3 linked regions of the Arabidopsis thaliana genome follow. The protein of the gene in region 3 interacts with the protein of the main gene of each other region in a pairwise test. Each region holds a gene or a part of one and is shown on either strand. Other genes may lie near its edges.

The links.
Region 1: the proteins of ARD4 (region 3) and AT3G52960 interact in a two-hybrid assay, tested with the Arabidopsis thaliana proteins (one large-scale study listed by BioGRID).
Region 2: the proteins of ARD4 (region 3) and AT2G03780 interact in a two-hybrid assay, tested with the Arabidopsis thaliana proteins (one large-scale study listed by BioGRID).

The regions. Positions count from the first base shown.
Region 1 is NC_003074.8:19,635,774-19,641,349, reverse strand, and holds AT3G52960 (Thioredoxin superfamily protein), read right to left. Parts: upstream 1,802-5,576; 5' UTR 1,652-1,801; coding exon 947-1,651; 3' UTR 640-946; downstream 1-639. Other genes in the region: AT3G52950 (CBS / octicosapeptide/Phox/Bemp1 (PB1) domains-containing protein), read right to left, coding at 4,814-5,576. UniProt on the Arabidopsis thaliana protein: Thiol-specific peroxidase that catalyzes the reduction of hydrogen peroxide and organic hydroperoxides to water and alcohols, respectively. Plays a role in cell protection against oxidative stress by detoxifying peroxides.
Region 2 is NC_003071.7:1,151,807-1,158,335, reverse strand, and holds AT2G03780 (Translin family protein), read left to right. Parts: upstream 1-4,013; 5' UTR 4,014-4,050; coding exon 4,051-4,135; intron 4,136-4,167; exon of another isoform or gene 4,168-4,224; coding exon 4,225-4,331; intron 4,332-4,554; coding exon 4,555-4,634; exon of another isoform or gene 4,635-4,734; coding exon of another isoform or gene 4,735-4,751; coding exon 4,752-4,893; intron 4,894-4,981; coding exon 4,982-5,131; intron 5,132-5,237; coding exon 5,238-5,439; intron 5,440-5,522; coding exon 5,523-5,620; 3' UTR 5,621-5,890; downstream 5,891-6,529. Other genes in the region: GEK1 (D-aminoacyl-tRNA deacylase), read right to left, coding at 1-1, 85-159, 251-306, 542-594, 754-817, 918-1,060, 1,192-1,372, 1,450-1,686; AT2G03770 (P-loop containing nucleoside triphosphate hydrolases superfamily protein), read left to right, coding at 6,491-6,529.
Region 3 is NC_003076.8:17,624,148-17,632,619, reverse strand, and holds ARD4 (RmlC-like cupins superfamily protein), read left to right. Parts: upstream 1-3,256; 5' UTR 3,257-3,497; coding exon 3,498-3,509; intron 3,510-3,734; coding exon 3,735-3,822; intron 3,823-4,038; coding exon 4,039-4,133; intron 4,134-4,752; coding exon 4,753-4,992; intron 4,993-5,127; coding exon 5,128-5,256; 3' UTR 5,257-5,488; downstream 5,489-8,472. Other genes in the region: AT5G43870 (auxin canalization protein (DUF828)), read left to right, coding at 1-82; CLH2 (chlorophyllase 2), read right to left, coding at 436-1,122, 1,859-2,128; HSFA6A (heat shock transcription factor A6A), read left to right, coding at 6,256-6,489, 6,569-7,183; AT5G43830 (aluminum induced protein with YGL and LRDR motifs), read left to right, coding at 8,381-8,472. UniProt on the Arabidopsis thaliana protein: Catalyzes 2 different reactions between oxygen and the acireductone 1,2-dihydroxy-3-keto-5-methylthiopentene (DHK-MTPene) depending upon the metal bound in the active site.

The DNA of each region.
Region 1 (5,576 bases), on a different chromosome or scaffold from region 3:
ACTTGAACACTTCAAATCATCAAAGCAATCCGATATTTGTACCCAAAAGAAAAAGAAAAAAATATCTAAGAATAATTTGGCGTTATTGTGGGAGATTTGATTCGGTAAACTGACATAGCCGATCCAGTAGTGAAGCTGACCACATTTGGGCTTTATTGTCTGTTTTGTTATAAAAAAAAGGATATAAACTAAAGTTTTTCGCTATTTGTGCATCAATGCATACGTTAGCACGTAGACGTGGCATCCAACTAGCAACCAACCCCAACGTCCTTTCCAAAAGTCAGGATTGTTGCTTGTTGGTCTCCAATCTCCATTACTCTACATAGATCAATTGAAAAGGTAATTCATTATGCTCCTTAAACTTAAGATAATCATATCAAAGATGCACCGAGGAAAAAAAAAGGATCATGTCAAGTAGTATAATAATAAAAAAACGTGCCTTTTGGAGAGGTCTTTGGGTTGGTATCTTACTAATGTTTTACCAAGAGGATTTTATGGTCAAAACCTCTCCATATCATAAGACTTACTCCGGACCAAATCCCTGACCGACCGGTGATCAGCAACACGTTTCAGAGAACCCGACTTCGATAAGTTAACTTTTTCTAGAAATTAATAGCTCTATTTCATGAATTTTTAAGTGGAAAATTTTCATTACATGTTTATATTAACTTGTCACTGTGACAAACTATCAGTAAGTGTTAGGTTAATACCTAAACTCAATCAAAATTATAAAAGTCAAAAGAGAAAAAATTAACCAAAAGTAGTAACATCCGAAAACTAAACACAACGCTTTTCTAAAATGTTCACAAACAACAGAACCTCTAACTTCATTATTCCATTACAAATCCGATAATGATTCGTAGATTTAAAGAAACAGCAACACAAAACAGAGTAAAGAAAATTCAAAACAGAGAAGAAGACGAAATTGATGAGAAAATCATAAGAATCAGAGAGCTTTAAGCATATCCTCAGCACTACTATTAGTAAAAGCACCTCCTTCTTCAAGATTCAGAACTTTCACAACACCATCATCAGCCAAAATCGCATATCTCCTTGACCTAACTCCAAGTCCCACAGGCTTATCCCTCAAATCCAATTCAACACCAAGCTTCCCTGTGAATTCGCCATTTCCATCGGATAGCAACATTACCTCATCGTTAATTCCAAGATCTTTCCTCCACGCTTCCATCACGAACGCGTCGTTGACGGAGATACATGCGATTACATCGATGCCTTTAGATCTGAGTTCTCCGGCTTTGGATACGAATCCAGGGACGTGTTTTTGTGAGCATGTTGGTGTGAATGCGCCGGGAACGGCGAATAGGATTGTTTTCTTCCCGGCGGTTAGGGATGAGACGGTTACTGTTTTGACGTCTCCGGTGGATGGATCGAGGTAGGAGAGAGTGGAGTCTGGGAGCTTGTCTCCGACGGAAATGGAGGCGGTGACGGGTGTCGTAGCGAAGGATCTGGTGGTGGCGGAGGCGGAATTGGTGCGGCGGTTGCGGAATTTGAGAGAGAGATTAGGAGCGAGAGAGCGTGTGAAGGAGAGCGGCGCGGTGAAGGATACGGTGGGGGAAAGTAACGGCTTAGCGACGGAGATAACGGTGGCGGAGGAGGACATGAATCTAGAAACGGAGAGAGAAGTCGCCATTGATGCTGTTTAGGTGAAGAGTGTGTGACTTGAGGTTTGTTTTGGATTGAGTAGAGAAAGATGAAAGGCTATGTCATTATTGGGCCTACATTGTTTTCACCGCCTGATCCTTAGTGGGCCTAAATTGTATTATTCACCGCATTCTTTAATATCTACATATTTGCTTTTAAATAGGGTTGATGCAAAAAATGGTGGACACAATGAGATTGGAGGGAAGAGGAAAAGAGCGTGAAATCGGAAAGCTTTTTCAAAATAATTTGGAATTTCCTAACGCCGTTATTGGGCCTTAATGGGCCTACATTGTTTTCACCGCCTTGTTCCTAAGGCTTTGATATTTATATATTTGCTTTTAAAGAGGGTTGATGCCAAAAAAAAAAAACAAATTAGGTTTCCATTGGTATCGTAGGCACTACGGAGAGAATGTCTAGAATTCGTAGTGATTGGTCCAACCTTTGTTTCGATATTTTGAGATCAATCTTTGAAGGATTAGAGACTAAGGATTATCATCGAGCGAGGAGCGTTTGCTCACAATGGTATTTAGTTTCAAGATCATGTACGCGACCTATATGGTATCCATGGCAACTTATGCGCGACGAGGATGGTACTTTTTTGGGTCATCACAGTGAAGATCGCGAATTCTCCTTCGAAGTAGAATGTCTTGGATTTGATTTATTGAAAAGCTTTGTTATGGCTAGTTGGAGTAGTTGGCTCTTGATGAATGATCCTAGTTTAGATTTCTTATATCTTTTGAACGTGTTTACTCGCGAGATGATCAATCTTCCATCAATGAAGTCATATAAAGGAAAACAAACCAAATTGACGTCTCCTCTCAAAAATTTGGCTTGTTTTTGGATAAACGAGAGAACAAAGGATTATGTTGTAGCTTGTATTACCGAAGAAAACTGTTTGTTCACATACAAGAATGAAGATGATTATTGGTGGAATGTTGAAGACATATATTGTACACACATGACTTATAAAGACGATAAGCTTTATGTGTATACAATTGATAGCTACATCAAGACTTGATTTCTCTGGAGCTTTCCCAAAAGAAATCGTCCAAGGAAACCCGTACCGTGACCATCCGTTTTGCTTTGATAACCAACTTGGGGAATACGGTGGGAAGACGAGGATTGCGATTACGAACTCAATGGATGTTTTGATCGCTGTGAGCATTAAACGGTTACAAAACTCACGCTTGTTTTACATCTTCAAGATGAATTTTGAAAGTAGTAACTGGGAAAGAGTACATTCTCTTGGAGGTGAGTTGTTGATATTTGGTCATGGGGTCACAATCAAAGATGTTCTTTTTTTTGGCAACGCTTATGATGACATCATTAAAGGATACGTTTGCTCAAAAAGTTTCTGGTTTGTTCCTGTATATGCTTAAGACTTGGTTCGATCAGGAGCGCTTGTCTTGACGTTTAGATATACTAACTATTTTATTCATGTTGGAGGCTTTTATGTCATGATGTGTAAGATGTTAAAGATTTTCTATTTCACATGGGCAAGTTTTGAGTATCATATTGTTTTTTTTTTAGCTTATGGGTGAATCATTTTTAGTGATGGCTGATGACAATCGACAATAATGATAAAAAAAACCAATTCATTTTTCAACGCAATTCGAATACTATATAGCTGAGAAGAAATATGCGTCTATTATTCTAACTATCCATTTTTTTCTTTTGCTAAATTGTAAATATCATATTAATGAAAGAGTTGTTTTTCTTCCAGAAAAAATGAAAGAGTTGATTTTACAAAATGCATTACCTATACAATTTGTCTTACGTGATTTTCAGTGATATCGACCGTGAAATATTCTACTCGTCCTTAGGTTATGTTTTGTTTTGCTACATGGAGAGGCCTTGGTTGGGATCCTAATTCTAAACATTTGATCGTTACCTTGTTATAAATTTATTCAACTTCTACTTCATAGGATAAATTAAGTTATAGATAGTATATACACACTACTTTAGCTCTACAAATCAGTTGATGCAGTTATGTTTGAGAAAGGAAAACAAAAAAGCATACATTGTACGTGGAAAGAGCTAAATGGTTAAAAATCTAAAGATTACCATGAACTTAATTTCTAAGTTTCTCAAATTCGTTCCAATTTAATAGACACTAAGGGGGGTGTATTCAAATTAGAATTTAAAGTGATTTGAGTTTTATTGAGTATTTAAATGATTTTGATGATTTTAGGGAAGTTCATGATTTTTGTAAAATCTATTCAAATCTCACCTTAAACTATGAGATTTAGATTTCTATATTTTTAATACAGGAAATCCTCCAAAATCATTAAAAATTCAAATCCACAAATTGTTTTCATGAGACTTCTTAAAAATGTAGGATTTATAAATTCTATACAAATCTCTCATAAGACTTCTTAAATGTTGAACACAAATCCTTGATGGTAACTAAATTTATTAAGGGGACGAAAAAAAACACATCTCAGTTTTGTCTCAGAAAAATGAAAAAAAAATACAAATGCAGGCTGTGGGGTTCGAACCCACGCGCACTTATGTGCAGAAGAACTTAAGTCTTCCCCCTTAACCTCTCGGGCAAACCTGCCTTGATGTCACTCATATGAAATATAACCTTCTTAATAAACGTTTGTATCTTCCTCTTATCATTATGTTTGGAGACCTCTCATAACTATAATATATTTGTGTCGAGATTGTGATTTCTTTGTTGGTTTGCTTAATATATGCAACCTAACCACACATTCACAAATTCCATGTAATATTGATAGATAAGCTTCATAGATAACACACGTGTTTTCCTCCATATGTTCCTCTGTCTTTCTCATATCCACACAACAATCGCTCTAAGGAACAGTGACACAAACACATTCACAAGAAGGAAGCAAACACATATTCACTTATATCAAAGACCAGAATCTGCAGTGCAATGATATTCCCTTGATTTATTTTCCCGGTTTCAGAGGTTTTACATAAACTCTGTCAAATAGAGTAATCTGAATAAGGTTTTTCCCCATTAATTTAATATCATAGGGAAACAAAGTTTTTTGTTTTTTTTTCTGTTTGCATTCGCAAAACATGTGACCCCAAAAGACAAGAGACAAACTGTATGAAACTTACCAAAAAATTAAGAGAAAAAGAGTTTTTGTTCTGCATCCCAAACAGTTTGCTTCAGCAAAAATCAGTTCTTTGAACGCTTCAAGTAAACAACTATGGCTATGCTTGTTAGGACAACAGCTCCTGTAACCACCACACCACCACGCCATGAAACCCATCCGCTTCCTCTGTCTCGAGAATCACCTTTCTTGAGTTGGGTGGTTTCTGAGCTCAAGCTCCTTGTTGACTCAGTGAAGTCCAGATGCAGCCTCAAAACCTTTTGTCCTGTAGACCTAGCAAGAGTAACAGCACCAACCAAATCGCTATCCGATGTAATCAAAACCTTATCACCTTCATCGTCCTCATATATAATCTGAGGCCGTTGTTCCACATTGTTATTGTCGCTGCCAATTCTTTGCATCACAATACCCATCAGCTCTTCGAGGTTTTCAGCTCCAGAAGTAAACCGATGTACACGGCCCTTAAGGTCTTCAAATTTGAACGAAAACGAATTCCCTAGTCCTAGAGATGGGTAAGAACTGAGCTTCCCTATATCTGAATGATGCATCATTGCCGACATTTCACTTTGAGTGTCAGAATCATCAGGTGGCTCTAACGCAAGAGCTGAATCCCAAAATTTCTGCATCATCGTGTTTGCCATATCATTTACAGCTCCAGAACTGTTCTCCACCATTGAAATAGCTGCGTGAGTAATCTGAAGAACGTCTACACAAGCTGCAGCTGATCCATCTTTATCTATAATTGGAAGATGTAGAAACTTTCCATCATGCATTGTATGCAACGCATCCAGAATCGTTGTCTCTAGCGATGCACATTCAGGATTCGGT
Region 2 (6,529 bases), on a different chromosome or scaffold from region 3:
CCTGATGAATGCAGAATCAAAACAATGAGATAAAGAACGTGTTCAATGTTGTGCTTGCACAAAGCAGAGTTCTTGACAACTTACAAAGCTATATCCATGTGACGAGGAGCATAATGTCCACCTCCAATGCCTAAAAGAACTTTCCTCTTTCCGGTTTCACTGTCCACCCAAAAACAATCCACACTAAGTTTAGATCGATACTTCGGTTTTTCTTTATGTCGAGGTAATGATTAAGCCCCAATGGATATACCTTTTCCACTTCCCTACTTCTTCACTGCCTCCTAGCCCAAGACCTTCCCACATTAACTGAATCACAAAACACAAATGCTCCTTACTAAATGGAAGCAAACTTAGAGATATAGACTAAAAGTTACTGGCCAGTCATGAGCCTCAAAAGTTGTTGTTAAGCATGATGATTATTAGAACCAAACTTTCAACCCTAGAGAAGTCTTTAAATCCACAGGAAACAACAAGATACAAGAACAACGACCTTTTTCTACCTCCTGAAACCATTTCAATTAACTAACTTTTTTACACTTACAAGAGCCATGACTTGAGCTGCGTCTTGCCTCTTCCAGTATTCCTCGGTACTACCTACACACACGTTATTCATTCTCAGACTATAGATTCAATTCCTCAAAAACTACACTGGAGATGAACTAAGAAACTCGGATACACAACGAAATGGCAATTTCAAGAGAGCGAGCAGAGAGCTAATCAATTCAGATAAAAGGAACAAAGAAAGAAACTCACCAATCTCCAAAAACATCGTTGGCTTGTTAGTTATTGGTCCATGATGAGTAGCTTCCAATGTTATCTGCATCCACACAAAGCAATTTACATTCTCTCTCACCTTAAACCATACTTCAATTCCAATCAAAAGCAAAACTCATAAGAGAGAGTAAACAGCAAAATACCTCAAACTCAGGAACTAAACCATGAGCTTCAGCCATTTTCTTCAAAAGACGAAACCATGGACCAATTCTAGTGCTTGGCAACGCCGCCCATCCAGGCTTTCCTCCTTGCGGCGGTGATTCTCCATCCTTTAGATGAAGCACTCCTACACTTATCAACCAAAACATCCTTCAGGAAAACATAAAACAACCAAAACCCAAATACAAAGTTTGAATCTTTCAGAAAATCGTAAAAAGAACAAAGCCCTAATCAAAAGTTTGGATTTTGATGCACTACCAATCGGATGAACAGTTAAAGCAGGACGATTTGAGACGGCGGTGTGACGGCTGAGGAAGATGACTTCATCAACAACTTCACCGGTAGCTTCTTCCCAACGTAAATCGAGATCGTCTTCTTTTACTATAGATCTATCGTGTTGAATCACTCTCGTTTGCTTGTTACTAAAACTCTTTATGTCCTGAAAATTTCGACAAGAACAAAATCAGACGAGAGAAAGGTTGATACTTTACCGGCGGAGGATGATTGAAACTTTACCGGCGGTAAGATAGGTCCGGCGGTCCAACCGGGCATGGCGAGAAGCGCCGCCGCAGGGTTGATCGACGCTGGATCGGCGGTGGTGGCCACGATTAGTGTTACCATTTTTCGAGTTGTTACTGTAACGCGATTATTGGCGTTTAAAAGCGATTGGATATGAGTTGCGTTTGCTTTGAGTCTATTGTTGTGCGTGTGGAGGAAGTGTATAATGTTTCGGCCGCTTATTTTCAAAATCATGAATTGAAACTTTTAGGTTTTAACTTTCGGAAAGGTGTTTAAAAGGATTTTATTTTGTTTGATCAACAAGCTAAGCAATTACTGAGTTCAATTGGTAATCAAGTTTAAACGAGGTAACTAATTTTTTTTAAGCGGTTAAAAAAAAAAACCAGTATTCGGAAAAATTGTAAAAGATGATAAAAAATTGAATCGCCGGATTATATATGATTTTTCTATGTTTTGGTAATTATAAAACTAAAATTTAACTCAGCAATTTGCTACAGAAAAAAAAAACCGTAACAAACAAAATTAAATCAAATTGAGTCTTGAATCGAGTTGATAAGTACAAATCAATTTTGTCGATTTTTGAGTCTTGATTCTGTGATAGGGGAATTTAAATGTTAAAAGGACTAATCAAAAACAAATAACAAAAATATCATTTCAAATAATTGGTTAGAGTAATTTAGCAATTTAAAAACTTTTGGAGTTTTTTTATCTATATTAAGAAAAAGAAAAGTATATATCACATAGAAAGTATATAATATAATATCACATGCATAACTAATGTCAAGTTTTTTTTTTCTGAAATTATGAGCCGAATATGTCTTCTTATAGTTTTTTTTTTATGCATAGTGATTTAGTTTAGAAATGAGGTATAGTAGATAAATAACTTTTTTTTTCTGTGCGCGAAACTTAGTAATTAAAATAACATCCGCTAAAAACTAGGATTGAACCAGCAGTAAATTGCGAGAGAGAAAAAAAATTCTATTTTAATTTGTTGATATTTAATTTTTAAGTTTTCTTAATTTATTACGCCAAAGAGTATATATTTTACAGTAAGTATATATAGAATAAGATTATGAGTTGGTCATCACAAATATTATTGTTTTGTTAGTTATATATAAAAAAACATTTGTAAAATAAATTAAAGTATAATATGTATGTTTTATGGATTACAAGTTTTGGGGATCACCTGTTATTTATTTTTTTAACAATACCATTGTCATTTATGAAAATCAAATTAAACCAACCCACCTATTGAATTTGTCTCGCATCATGCTAAGATATTTTGCATACTTTTGACTGACTAATCTTCAAAAATCCATCTAATGACAATGAATAATATAATCTGATTAATCCATATGATAACACTAAGTATTGTAAATTTGTTTAATTTTGTAACCTAGATACATATAAACAGTCATATATCATCAAAGTTATGATCCATAAATTATTGACAAAAAAAGTCATGATCCATAAATTGTTGAAAAACAATTCATAATCCAAATGATTATACTACTTTAAATGGAAGACATAATATAAAGTGTTTGTTGATTCATGCCCGTTTGAGAGTTACTACACTTGAAACTGAAACTTAGAGAAAACAAAAAAAACAAGAAAATTATCTGAATGACAGTCGAGGTTACACAATTCATCACTAAGAAAGAAAACATATATTTTTTCTCTAGAGAGTTACATTTTCTAAATCATTGTTTCACGGTGGTTTATGAAATATTTGGCAGCAAAGTCACACTGATGAGTAAATTTTGGCTCATGAAAATTTAATAAATTTTGGCTGGTAAACAAATAGATAATATGTTGTGTGAACAAAAACGTATAAGTTTGAGGAACAACCAAATATAGTTATATGTTTGCTTAATAGACTTAGCTTTCATTTTTTCTAAAATGATATCCATAAAATTATTATAAGACTCATAATTTATTATGTGACATTTTATAACATAAATTGTATGTAAACCTAAGATATATAAAATAATTTTAAAACTAATTTTCGATTATTCTTCGATTAACCGAGTAATCATTAGGACCCATCGGCTGTCTAATTAACGACTAACAATATTTTGAACATGGAACAAAACTAATCATCTATATAGGAATTACCATTTAAACGTAAAACCAACAATTACTAAATGCTCATTTATCATTATGAAATCAAATTAGTATTAAACTCAAATCCAATTAGTTCAAAATATTCTCTAACATCTACCATCATAGTTTACAAGAATGTTGGTCATCTCAAATTGATTTATGCACTTTATTGAACACTTTTTGTACATAAAATAAGCTAGGTTGTAGAACACATTCAAAATTAGGAAAAGAAAAAAACAATATACTGTAAATTAACCTTAATTAAAAATACCATTCAAAACCGTGGAGAAAAAATGAATCAATCAATCCTAATTACAAAAAACTGGTGCTGCCCAGGATCGAACTGGAGACCTTTTGCGTGTAAGGCAAACGTGATAACCACTACACCACAGCACCTGATGTCTCCTTATTCTCTCGTTTAATATTTAACTTTCAAACTAAAGCATCGCGAAATAAACCTTTGGGCTTCGAGTGAGCATCGGAGAAATCAGACAGATGTTGAGTTGTTCTTCATCGGCGTTCCAAAGAGTAGCCTTTATGCTTATGGCTCCCAAATTAAAACCTCAGAGACTCCATCAAAGTATGTATACACACTCACTTCTACATATATCTATTGCTTTGTGTGGTCTTTAGTGTTGATTAGTAACGATGGTTTTGGTGTTTGTGTAGTTGCAGAGAGTGGTGTTGAACATTTGGTTAAGAAAGCTAGGACGATGAGTACTGAATCCTCAATGAAAGATGCTTTCTCTACTTACGCTGATTATCTCAATAACTTCGTAAGTGTTTCCTCTGCTCCATTGTTTCTCCTGGGTTTATCTGTTTGTTTATAAAGATTGAACCTTTGCGTCATGGGATTGAGTCCTTTAAGTAAGGTTTATAGGTTTAGACAACTAAAGAAATGATCTTTCATGTTGCAACTTGGGTTTTGTAATAGATTCTATAGCGAATTGAGAATAAAGGAGGAGGCTTTATCTGGTTTCTATGATTGTTTCTTTGTAGAATGAGAAGCGAGAAAGAGTGGTGAAGGTAAGTCGTGATATCACAATGAACAGCAAAAAAGTTATCTTTCAGGTTCACAGGTAATTTCAACACCTCTGTTGTTTTTGTTTGTGTTCATCAAGATTTTGTGTGTTTTTGTTGTGTTCTTCATCAAGATACTGTTTGTTTGTTTTGTTTACTATGTTGTTATATGGCAGGCTCAGTAAAGACAACAAAGAGGAGGTATTGGAGAAAGCAGGGAAGGATTTAGAAGCAGTGAGGGATCAACATTTTGCCCGGCTAATGAAAGAGCTTCAAGGGACTGATTTTTGGAAGCTGAGACGTGCTTATTCCCCAGGGGTTTGTGAAACGGAAAATCATTCATCTTTTGGTACGATTTTGGTTAATGGTTTAACTGATATGTTTTGTGGTTTTGTGTAACTTACAGGTGCAGGAATATGTTGAAGCTGCAACGTTTTATAAGTTCTGTTTGTCTGGGACGCTATGTACTCTCGATGAGATTAACACAACGCTTGTACCACTTAGTGACCCTTCTTTAGAGCCGTTGCAGATCAATATCCTCGACTATATTCTTGGGGTATTTTTTAGACCATCTTTATTTATGGTTAATACTTACTGTCAAAGATGTTCTCTATTGTTTGGAGTTCTGAATTATGTTTGATTATTGTTTGTTACTTGCACAGCTTGCAGATTTGACGGGAGAGCTAATGCGGATGGCAATTGGTCGCATATCAGACGGTGAAATCGAATTCGCGCAGAGGATTTGTCAGTTTGTTCGACAGATTCATAGGGAACTAATGCTAGTTGTGCCAAAGATGGATGACAGTTATGACATGAAATCCAAGATGGAAGTGATGCTTCAAAGTGTGATCAAAATAGAGAACGGTATGCACAAATCTCATATCCGCACACTATTAGATACCAACCAATACGTTTTTGTAACTCTTTTTTGTTTGTTTGTTTATTAGCTTGCTTTAGCGTTCACGTGAGAGGATTAGAGTATATTCCACTGCTTGGAGATAATGCACCAACATCATACCTATTGGGAGCTGCTGATGTCGAATGATTAAAAGTGAGTGGTCTTTTCCGTCTCTCGGACACATTTTAAAGTTCTTGTTAAGGTTGGTGTGTTTGCGACAAGTAGGATCGTTTTAGTATGGACTTATCTTCAGAGAATTTTAGCCACTTCTTACTTCTGAGGAACTTTAAATCTGTATGCTGCAAGACTTTTAAGAAACAAATGGTTAGAACTAGATGTAAAACTTTTCTTTTGTTGAATGGAAGCTAATTTATAATAGAATCTAGCAATTACTTTATTATTCAAGTTAATAATTTTGGCCCTTCTTCACTTTTTCTAGATCTTTCGTAATCCAGAAAGTACATTTTTTGGTTCTTGCTGTTTGTTTGTGCTTAATGAGGAAACATATATAGATACTCTTATCTTTTATGCAGCTACATATAATGCATCTTATTATAGTTCGACATTTGGTACTTTTATATAGGATTTTGACATTTTTTATAAATTTATATCTATCATTCATAGATAGAGTTTTATTTTGAAATCATAAATCTTTCTTTTGTAAAGAAAGTGATAAAAATAGAGAAAAATCTCACATTTTAAGATGTTCATAATCTAGTTATATATAGAGTTATGTGCAAGCAATACCACAATAGTACAATCTGTGTGATATGATTATTGGGTTTTGATGTTTTTCCTTTTTATTTTTAAGATTTCATGGCTTATATAAAGGATTTTTATGCTAATGAAAACACAACTTCCAACAATTAGCCTCTAAGAGAGACTTGGGTTAAGAGGAAGCTTGCTTTAAATCTCTTTGTTCTTTAAGCTTGAGCACTTCTTTGCAATTCAATCATTACTGAGATAACAGAGGGTCCATTTACAAAAGCAAGAGCAAAAGCTTTGGCTCATATCACTATGACAAAATCCGAAACCACTCTTTCGAAGTTATTGGTA
Region 3 (8,472 bases):
AAGCCAAAGGGAATATGATCTTTGGACACAAGGTGTTTCCATGCTTCTTTCCATTGCTTCTGATAGGAAACATAAATGTTGAATTAAGGTATAGTCTTGGGTAAAGTCACATGAATATGGAAACTAATGGGGCAAATTTGTATTATCTATTTTTCTTGGTGTGCCTTTTTTCTAGCTAGAAGAGATATTGGGTCTGAGCTGTCTAATTTATATTTTTAAAGTAAGATCTTTGTATTAGAAGAATATGTAAATTACATGATATTCTTTTAAAGGTTTTGAAAGTTCACTCTTCTAGTATTGTGAATGTGATCGGGTTAATATCATAAGCAAAGAGGTGACTTAAAGAGTTGTACAATATAAGTTTGTAAAACCATAAGCAACAAAAGCTGATGATATTGACAATAGAAAAACCAGCCCCTAAAGAAAAACTTATGTTTACATGATAACCTCAAACTCTTGAATTTCAACGGGAACATCCTCGTGACACCCATCTTTGATCTTAACTAATTCACGATCATCTCCTTCCAAATAAGCCTTCAAAAATGATACAACAAGTCCACCAACGAATCTCCTCATTGGTCTCCTCTCTTCACCATTCTTACACAAACAATAAGAACTCTTCCCTCTAATCCCTTTTGTATCATCATCAAGCATGTCCAAATGCCCATAATCCTTCGCAACGAAATGCCATGCTGGACCTTGACATTCCCGAAAGAACTCTCGGTGATTCACTCCGGGAGGTGCACACGGTGGGAATAATGGGTTCCGAGCGGTTTCACCAAGCCCCGAACCGATCACAAGTATAGGCGTTTTGTCTAGGTCAAATGAGTTTGGAAGGTAAGCCAACACCGGAGGAGGGGTTTGTTTCCCTTTCCCTGTTCCATCGACTGGATCTATACCGATCAATGTCGAGATCTTTAGATTCGAGGAGTACCCAAATTTCTTTAAGGCGACCGCAAACGCGGTTTTGCCACCGCGGCTATGGCCGGAGAGGGCAAATTTGGATAGGTTTGGTGTTACTTGCGCTGGAAGAAAGTGATTAAGTCCTACTGATAACCAATCCATAATCTCCGCCGTTGATTTAATCTCATCCATTGTGTCTGGTCCGGCGATACTATATAACTGTTATAATATCACATAGCCAAGAAATTTGATTTACAACCATATAAAATAAAATGTTAACATTTGATATTAGAAATTCGAGAGACTCTAGAGACAAAAACAGGATAAACACATCAAGTGGACCCATTGATATGCATTTTTGTTCTTACTTTTCTTCTTGTCTAAGGTTCTTATAAGAGCCAAACAATAATAAAAGAAAAGTTTCAGAAAAATAACTAATTTAAACGTGGCATAATGTGTTCCATGCATCCAGCTGAATTATAGATACATCTTGGTTAAATCCTAAATCCTAAATCCTATAAGTCCTAACAAATCAATGTATATGTATTTATTATGATTTTTTTGGATTCAACTAGAATATCTTAATACATGGACCTACATATTCATGAACATTCACACTAAACCTCAAAGGACCAAGTAGTCAGTCACATGCAATATTTGCACAAAATGGAATGGAACGAGATTGTAGCGAATTTACATTTTTCTAAACTCTACACTAATACTAAATCCCTAAACAAAAACTATACACTGGATTTAACAATTCCGATAGTACCATTTCCATAAAAATAACTCATAACATTTTACTAATTAAACAAAAACTATACACTAGTTTGACCCCCCAAAAAATAATTTCTATACTAAATTACTAATACACATAGGAATCTAAAACTAAACAAGAATTTCAGTGGCTAATTAGTTCCTGAACTAATGTAATGATTGGAAATTGAAATTGAACCTGAGGAGCGATGAGGATGAAGCCATGAGAAGAGACATGCAACATAAGCTGAGAATAGAAGGAGTTGTAGAGAAGGTAACCATGGAGGAGCATCACCACCGGATAATCTCCTTCCTCCACCGGCGTAGCCACCAACAGCTGCTTTGGCGGAGACGGTGAAGCTCTAGAAGACGGTGTTATTTTGCAGCAACGAGATGATGAGTCCAAGGTTAAGAGATTTGATTTGTATTTGCCATCTTCAAAGGCGTTTCTTGATGAAGAAGAGGACATTTTTTTTGTTCTTTATTAGTTTTTCTTTTCTTTACTTTTTTTGTTTGGTGGGTTCATGAGAATGAGGTGAGTAGAGATATTATTAAAAGTTATAAGAAGTATGGCCGTTGAAATCTTGGTTAATTTTAAAGAGCACATAAACAAAATCAAATAGAAAAAAATTACTTATGTTAAATTACTTATATTATTGGGGTTGGTGTAATGATAAATCTTCCAGATGTAGATATTGGATTAAACGTCTGTTGAAAAGAATCTATTTTCTAAAGAATATAAATTTAACTTGTGTCCCATCTCTAAAAAATATAAGACCTTTAAATTTAAACTTCTAAATATTTTTTTTTAAAAAACAAATCAAATAGAAAGAAATTACTTATGTGTGCATGGAATATAACAACTACAATCATAAGGCCATATATTCATAGTCTATTTTCAGTATTGAAACCTGATTTTTTCTAATTTTGGGTAATAAATTTTATGAAGTCTTTTTATTATAGTCTAGTTAAATTTCTCTATATTTAAACAAAGTCAGATCCTATATATATGAGATTTTTTGGAATTTTAAAAAATATTTAAATTCAAACAAAATAATTGGAGATTTGAATTTTTGTAAGAAAGTTACTTTGTGTTTCAGATTAAATTTAATAATAAATGGTCAAAAGATTTATGACTAAGAAGTATTAAAAATTAAAATATAGAAGAGAAAAAAATTGATATGATATGATATGCTCTTAGCAAAAAAATAAATTGATATGCTGTTGCTGGGTACAAGGAATGGGCTTTGTACTTCATACTAGACTACTTTTTCTCTAGTCCAATTTAAAAAAAAAAAAAACATTATATAACATTCGAGACTAATTTAAAGTGTTAAACGGCCCAATTTGTATTACACGGCCCAAGTTAAAGTGTTAAACATTACCTCATTACCTATGTACGATTTGTGGAAAAAAAATATATATACCTATGTACGATTTTGGATTACATTTTTTTTTTCTAGTTAAAACTAATTTCAAGTTTGAAATATAAATTATATATCTGAATATAGATCATTCTAGTTCAAATCAGATGGAAATATATGAACCTCAGAAAATACAATATCATACAAATGAGCCAATGTTTTGGTCTTATTCATTCATGATCATTGTGGCTCGAAAACGGTTGTTTTTTTCGTGCAAAAGAAAAAATAACGATTTTTTATTATTAGAATTTCGAAACCAGAATTAATAAAAATTAGGAGAAAGGAAAATAATACGAATTAAAGTGATCGTACACGTGGCTATCATCGACGGAGGAAATAGCCATTTATTTATCTGATCTTCATCACTCTGATGAGTCTGAAATCAAAAAAGCATTTACACAACGAAGATCATTAATGGCTCTCGAGGTGAGTTCTGATTCATAGGTTCTAGATTCTGATTTCGAATCTCGATTCGTTCAATAGTGATTATCGTTGCTCTTTCGGAATTATTTTGGGGATTTGATTTGATTTTGGCAGAACTGAGAATTGGGATTTGATTTTACCGTTTTGCAGCTGAAATTGAAAATTGAATCAAAAGTTTTTTCTTGAGATTTTTTTCTTTCCCTGAGGCTTAAGTGTTGATTGATGCAGGCATGGTTTATGGATGATAGCAATGAGGACCAGAGACTTCCTCATCATCGTAACCCGAAAGAACTCGTCTCGTTGGATTACTTGGCAGGTCTTTTCAATTCTCTACCTTAAAAATTACTCTTACTTTGCAACTTTTGAAAAACATCAATCTTTCATGCTTTATTGTATTGAGTAGTGATTCTACATGAGGAAACTAAACGTAAACCGTCTTAAAACTAAGGAAATGGTCAAATTTACCCAAGATGAGATTTAACAGAATCATAAATTATGCAAATATCACAAATATAGTTGTTGTGTTTTGTAGAGTTGGGAGTGTTGTACTGGAAGTTGAACCCTGAGAACTACGAGAATGATTCTGAACTTAGCAAGATTAGAGAAGACAGGGGTTACGATTACATGGTACGCATATTATCTCTTCCTGATCACTGTTTTTTCTTAACTTAGGAACACTCATGCTCATCATAAATGCCAATTGAATGTCTCTGTTTTTTAACTTGTTGCATATCGTTGCATGTTGATCTCATGAGATTAACGATTGTGACATATACTAGACACAGTAGGAGTGTAGGACTACATAATGAAGGTAGTACTCAAACCTTACAAAACCAGCCTATGAAGAAAGAAGCCTTATGAGTATTAGAGTACAGGATTTGCTACGGCTTATGTCTTTCTGATCACCCTTTTTTAACTCATGCTCACCATAAGCGGCTATTGATGTTTCAGTTCCTTTACTTGTTATCTCTGCACGCTAATCTCATGAAAAAAAAAAACATGTATCATAGGACAGTAGGACTATAATCTTGCATAACCATTAAGGGGTAGTATGACTACAAACATTTTAGAAACCAGCTTATTAAGGAAGAAGGCTTCTCTGTAATTGAGTATTAAGGGAACATTAAAACGTTTGGTTTACGTTAAAAATAATTAAGCTATTTGTGTGGTGTGTAGCATTGTAACTTATGAGCTATAAACTAATTTTCTCAAGCAGAATGATTACTTTGGTTAATCTTCATTTTAGGATTTGCTGGATCTGTGTCCCGAGAAAGTCAGCAACTACGAAGAAAAGCTGAAGAACTTTTTCACAGAACACATTCACAAGGACGAAGAGATTCGGTACTGCCTAGCAGGAAGTGGCTACTTTGATGTTAGGGACAAGGATGATCGTTGGATCCGTATCTGGATGCAACCTGGCGATCTCATTGTCCTTCCTGCCGGAATCTACCACCGGTTCACACTCGACGCCAGCAACTACATCAAGGTACAAAAAGCCAAACTCAGTCTCTATACTAATTTACTAATTTATATGAATACGCAAATGAAATATTACATCTTAATATCTTATGTTAAAAGATTTGATTGTTGGTTTGTGATGTATGGTGGTTTGGTTTTGCAGCTAATGAGGCTGTTCGTGGGGGAACCGGTTTGGACACCATATAACCGGCCACAGGAAGAACATCCTGTTAGGAAAAAGTATATCCACGGCTTAACCTACAAGTTTGGAGAAACCGTTAAAGCACATTAACAATATTAATATATGCTTGTTGTGTAATTTGTATGTATTGTTTACTCTTTAGTCTTAAGCAGTAAAATAAAAACAGCGGCTCCTTCTGGATAGTTGTTCTTGTAACATACTTTTGCGATGTATGCTTTTATACATAAAAAAAATAGTGTGTATTTATCTAATAAGTATCATTAAAAAACAAATGTCAGCTGCGAACGTGAAATTTATAACTAAAAAAACCCTACGATTTTCGAATAAATTATTTGAGCTTTCCAAACTGTAATTCAAGTATTATTACTTATATAGTGTTAGTGTACTTCAAAAGTTAAAGCATAAATTTTCTTATATTTGAAATGACCTCTTCTTTACAAAATCTTCTTAAAATTATGCATTATCAATATATTAATTGTATATATATATATAATGTATAATTCTGCTTGTGTCGTGCTTAACCGTTTGATTTGGTGTGGTTAGATCTGGTTTTCCCCCAACCCAATTCAATTGAATCAAGGATCAATCAAATTTTCAAAGGATACTCTTGTTCTCTACACAAATCTTTCAAAGGGTTCCACCAAAAATCCCATCATTCTGACTTCAGAATAAACAAACAAACCACGAAACGTATCTCTATGCATTCACTACAACGTGTCATGGGCGAAAACGAAGCTTATAAATGTTGGAGCATAGTCACTAAATTTATAATGATTAATTAAATTTTAGATTTTCTGATATTCATAGAAGACAAAAGAACACAAAAGTAGCATCTTCCAATGAATGTATGACACTATGATCTCTCATTTCCATTTATAGCAAATCGGCTTTGTCCACATCAAAGATAACTAATAAATAGACTTATCCAAAACACTCAAAAGCAATACATTTCTATCCAAAAATATTAAACCCCAAAAATATAGACAGCATAAAAGCATCCTCAAGCTTCAGCTATTCATCACAACTATTCTCTCCTCTCTCTTTTTTTATTAAAAAAGCTCAAATTTATATAGGTTTTTTGTTCACAAAATGGATTATAACCTTCCAATTCCATTAGAGGGTCTCAAAGAAACGCCACCAACGGCTTTCTTGACGAAAACATACAACATAGTGGAGGATTCAAGCACAAACAACATAGTTTCATGGAGCAGAGACAACAACAGCTTCATTGTTTGGGAACCAGAGACTTTTGCCCTAATTTGCCTCCCTAGATGCTTTAAGCACAATAATTTCTCCAGCTTTGTTAGACAGCTCAATACTTATGTACGTAACTACTTTTGAGTTTTTGTCTTGGTTATTTTGATCTTCATTAAAAATTAAATCTTTGTTTAATGATCTGTAGGGGTTTAAGAAGATTGATACAGAGAGATGGGAATTTGCAAATGAGCATTTTCTGAAGGGAGAGAGGCATCTTCTTAAGAACATCAAGAGAAGAAAGACATCATCTCAAACGCAAACGCAGTCGCTAGAAGGAGAGATCCATGAGCTGCGAAGAGACAGAATGGCTTTAGAAGTAGAACTGGTTAGACTGCGACGAAAACAAGAAAGCGTGAAGACATATCTGCATTTGATGGAAGAGAAACTGAAAGTCACAGAAGTAAAGCAAGAAATGATGATGAATTTCTTGCTAAAGAAGATTAAGAAACCGAGTTTTTTACAGAGCTTAAGGAAACGTAATCTGCAAGGAATCAAGAATCGAGAGCAAAAGCAAGAGGTGATCTCAAGCCATGGTGTTGAGGATAATGGAAAGTTTGTTAAAGCTGAGCCAGAAGAGTATGGTGATGACATCGATGATCAATGTGGAGGTGTGTTTGATTATGGTGATGAGCTTCACATAGCTTCAATGGAGCATCAAGGACAAGGGGAGGATGAAATTGAAATGGATAGTGAAGGAATTTGGAAGGGTTTCGTGTTGAGTGAGGAGGAGATGTGTGATTTAGTGGAACATTTTATATAATAAACTAATGTATTATGAGAGGTTTTTTTTTGTTTTTTTGCTTTTTTTTTCCGAGTTTGTCATCAAGCATTGTATACAATTTGGGCCAAACTAAAAGCCCAACAAAATATTTGGCCTTGGCATTTGTTAACAAATTGACTAATTCGGCCACACCTTCCACTCCATTGATTGTTCAAAGACGTCTATCAACATTTTATTTCTCCTGAGCACTAACTATAAAGTATTTACATTTTTACACAAATTTTATTGCTGTCAATTTTAAAAAGTAGCTAAAATACGATACAATTATTTTAATTTAAGTCAGTTATACGTTTCGATCGAAGCGCGTGACGAATCGAACCGTTGGATTGACCTTTTATTTAAGAGATATTGCCTTTTATGATCACCCATGTGGCTTTCCTCGATTTAATTTTATTTTTAATTATTAATAATCGAGTGCACGTACTCGCCACGTCATTTTCATGACTTTATTTTTATAAATCTTATCCTCATTTGTACCATTAGATTCTTCCCTCAAATAAAGCCTTTTTTATACGTTACTACTAAATAAATTAATTCCTCCATCTTAGGAAAATTTTCTCTAATTAAGCGACAACTTTCTAATAAATACTGCATTATCAAACGCACCTAATATTACACAAACGATAATAAAATGGATACTTTTCAGATATGTTTTCAAAATCGTTTATCTATTTAATATTATTACACTACCAATAATATCCAGCATTTGCAATGAATGTAATTACGTAATTAAGTCCTATTTTACACGTCTACTAAATTTATAAACTTTTTATCATAAAAATAGTTATTACATTCCAAAAATTACTAGTAACATTCCTATAAATTGCGTTACTATTTATCCAAACAAATTACTATTTTTACAATCTACATTGCCTTATCAAAAGTTTAAAATCAGATAATTGTGATTCCGTTTAAAGATATGATTATCCATCTAATTAACTCTTTTTTATTAACCTCATTGAGAAAAAAGAAAAATATCCAAAACTTTCTTATCCTCTTGAATCACGACACGTGTCAATAACGTAGGGGTAAAATAGTAATCACGTATATCCTACAAGATTCCTTTATAGCCTTCCCGGTCTTTCTTCACTTTTTTCCTCATCATTTTCTCGTTTGCTCCATTTTTTTCTTCTTTCTGCAAATTTTATTTTCCCGAGAAAATCATCACTGAGAAAAATGCTCGCTGTGTTTGAGAAGACGGTGGCGAATAGCCCTGAAGCTTTACAGAGTCCACACTCGTCTGAGTCTGCTTTCGCGTTGAAAGATGG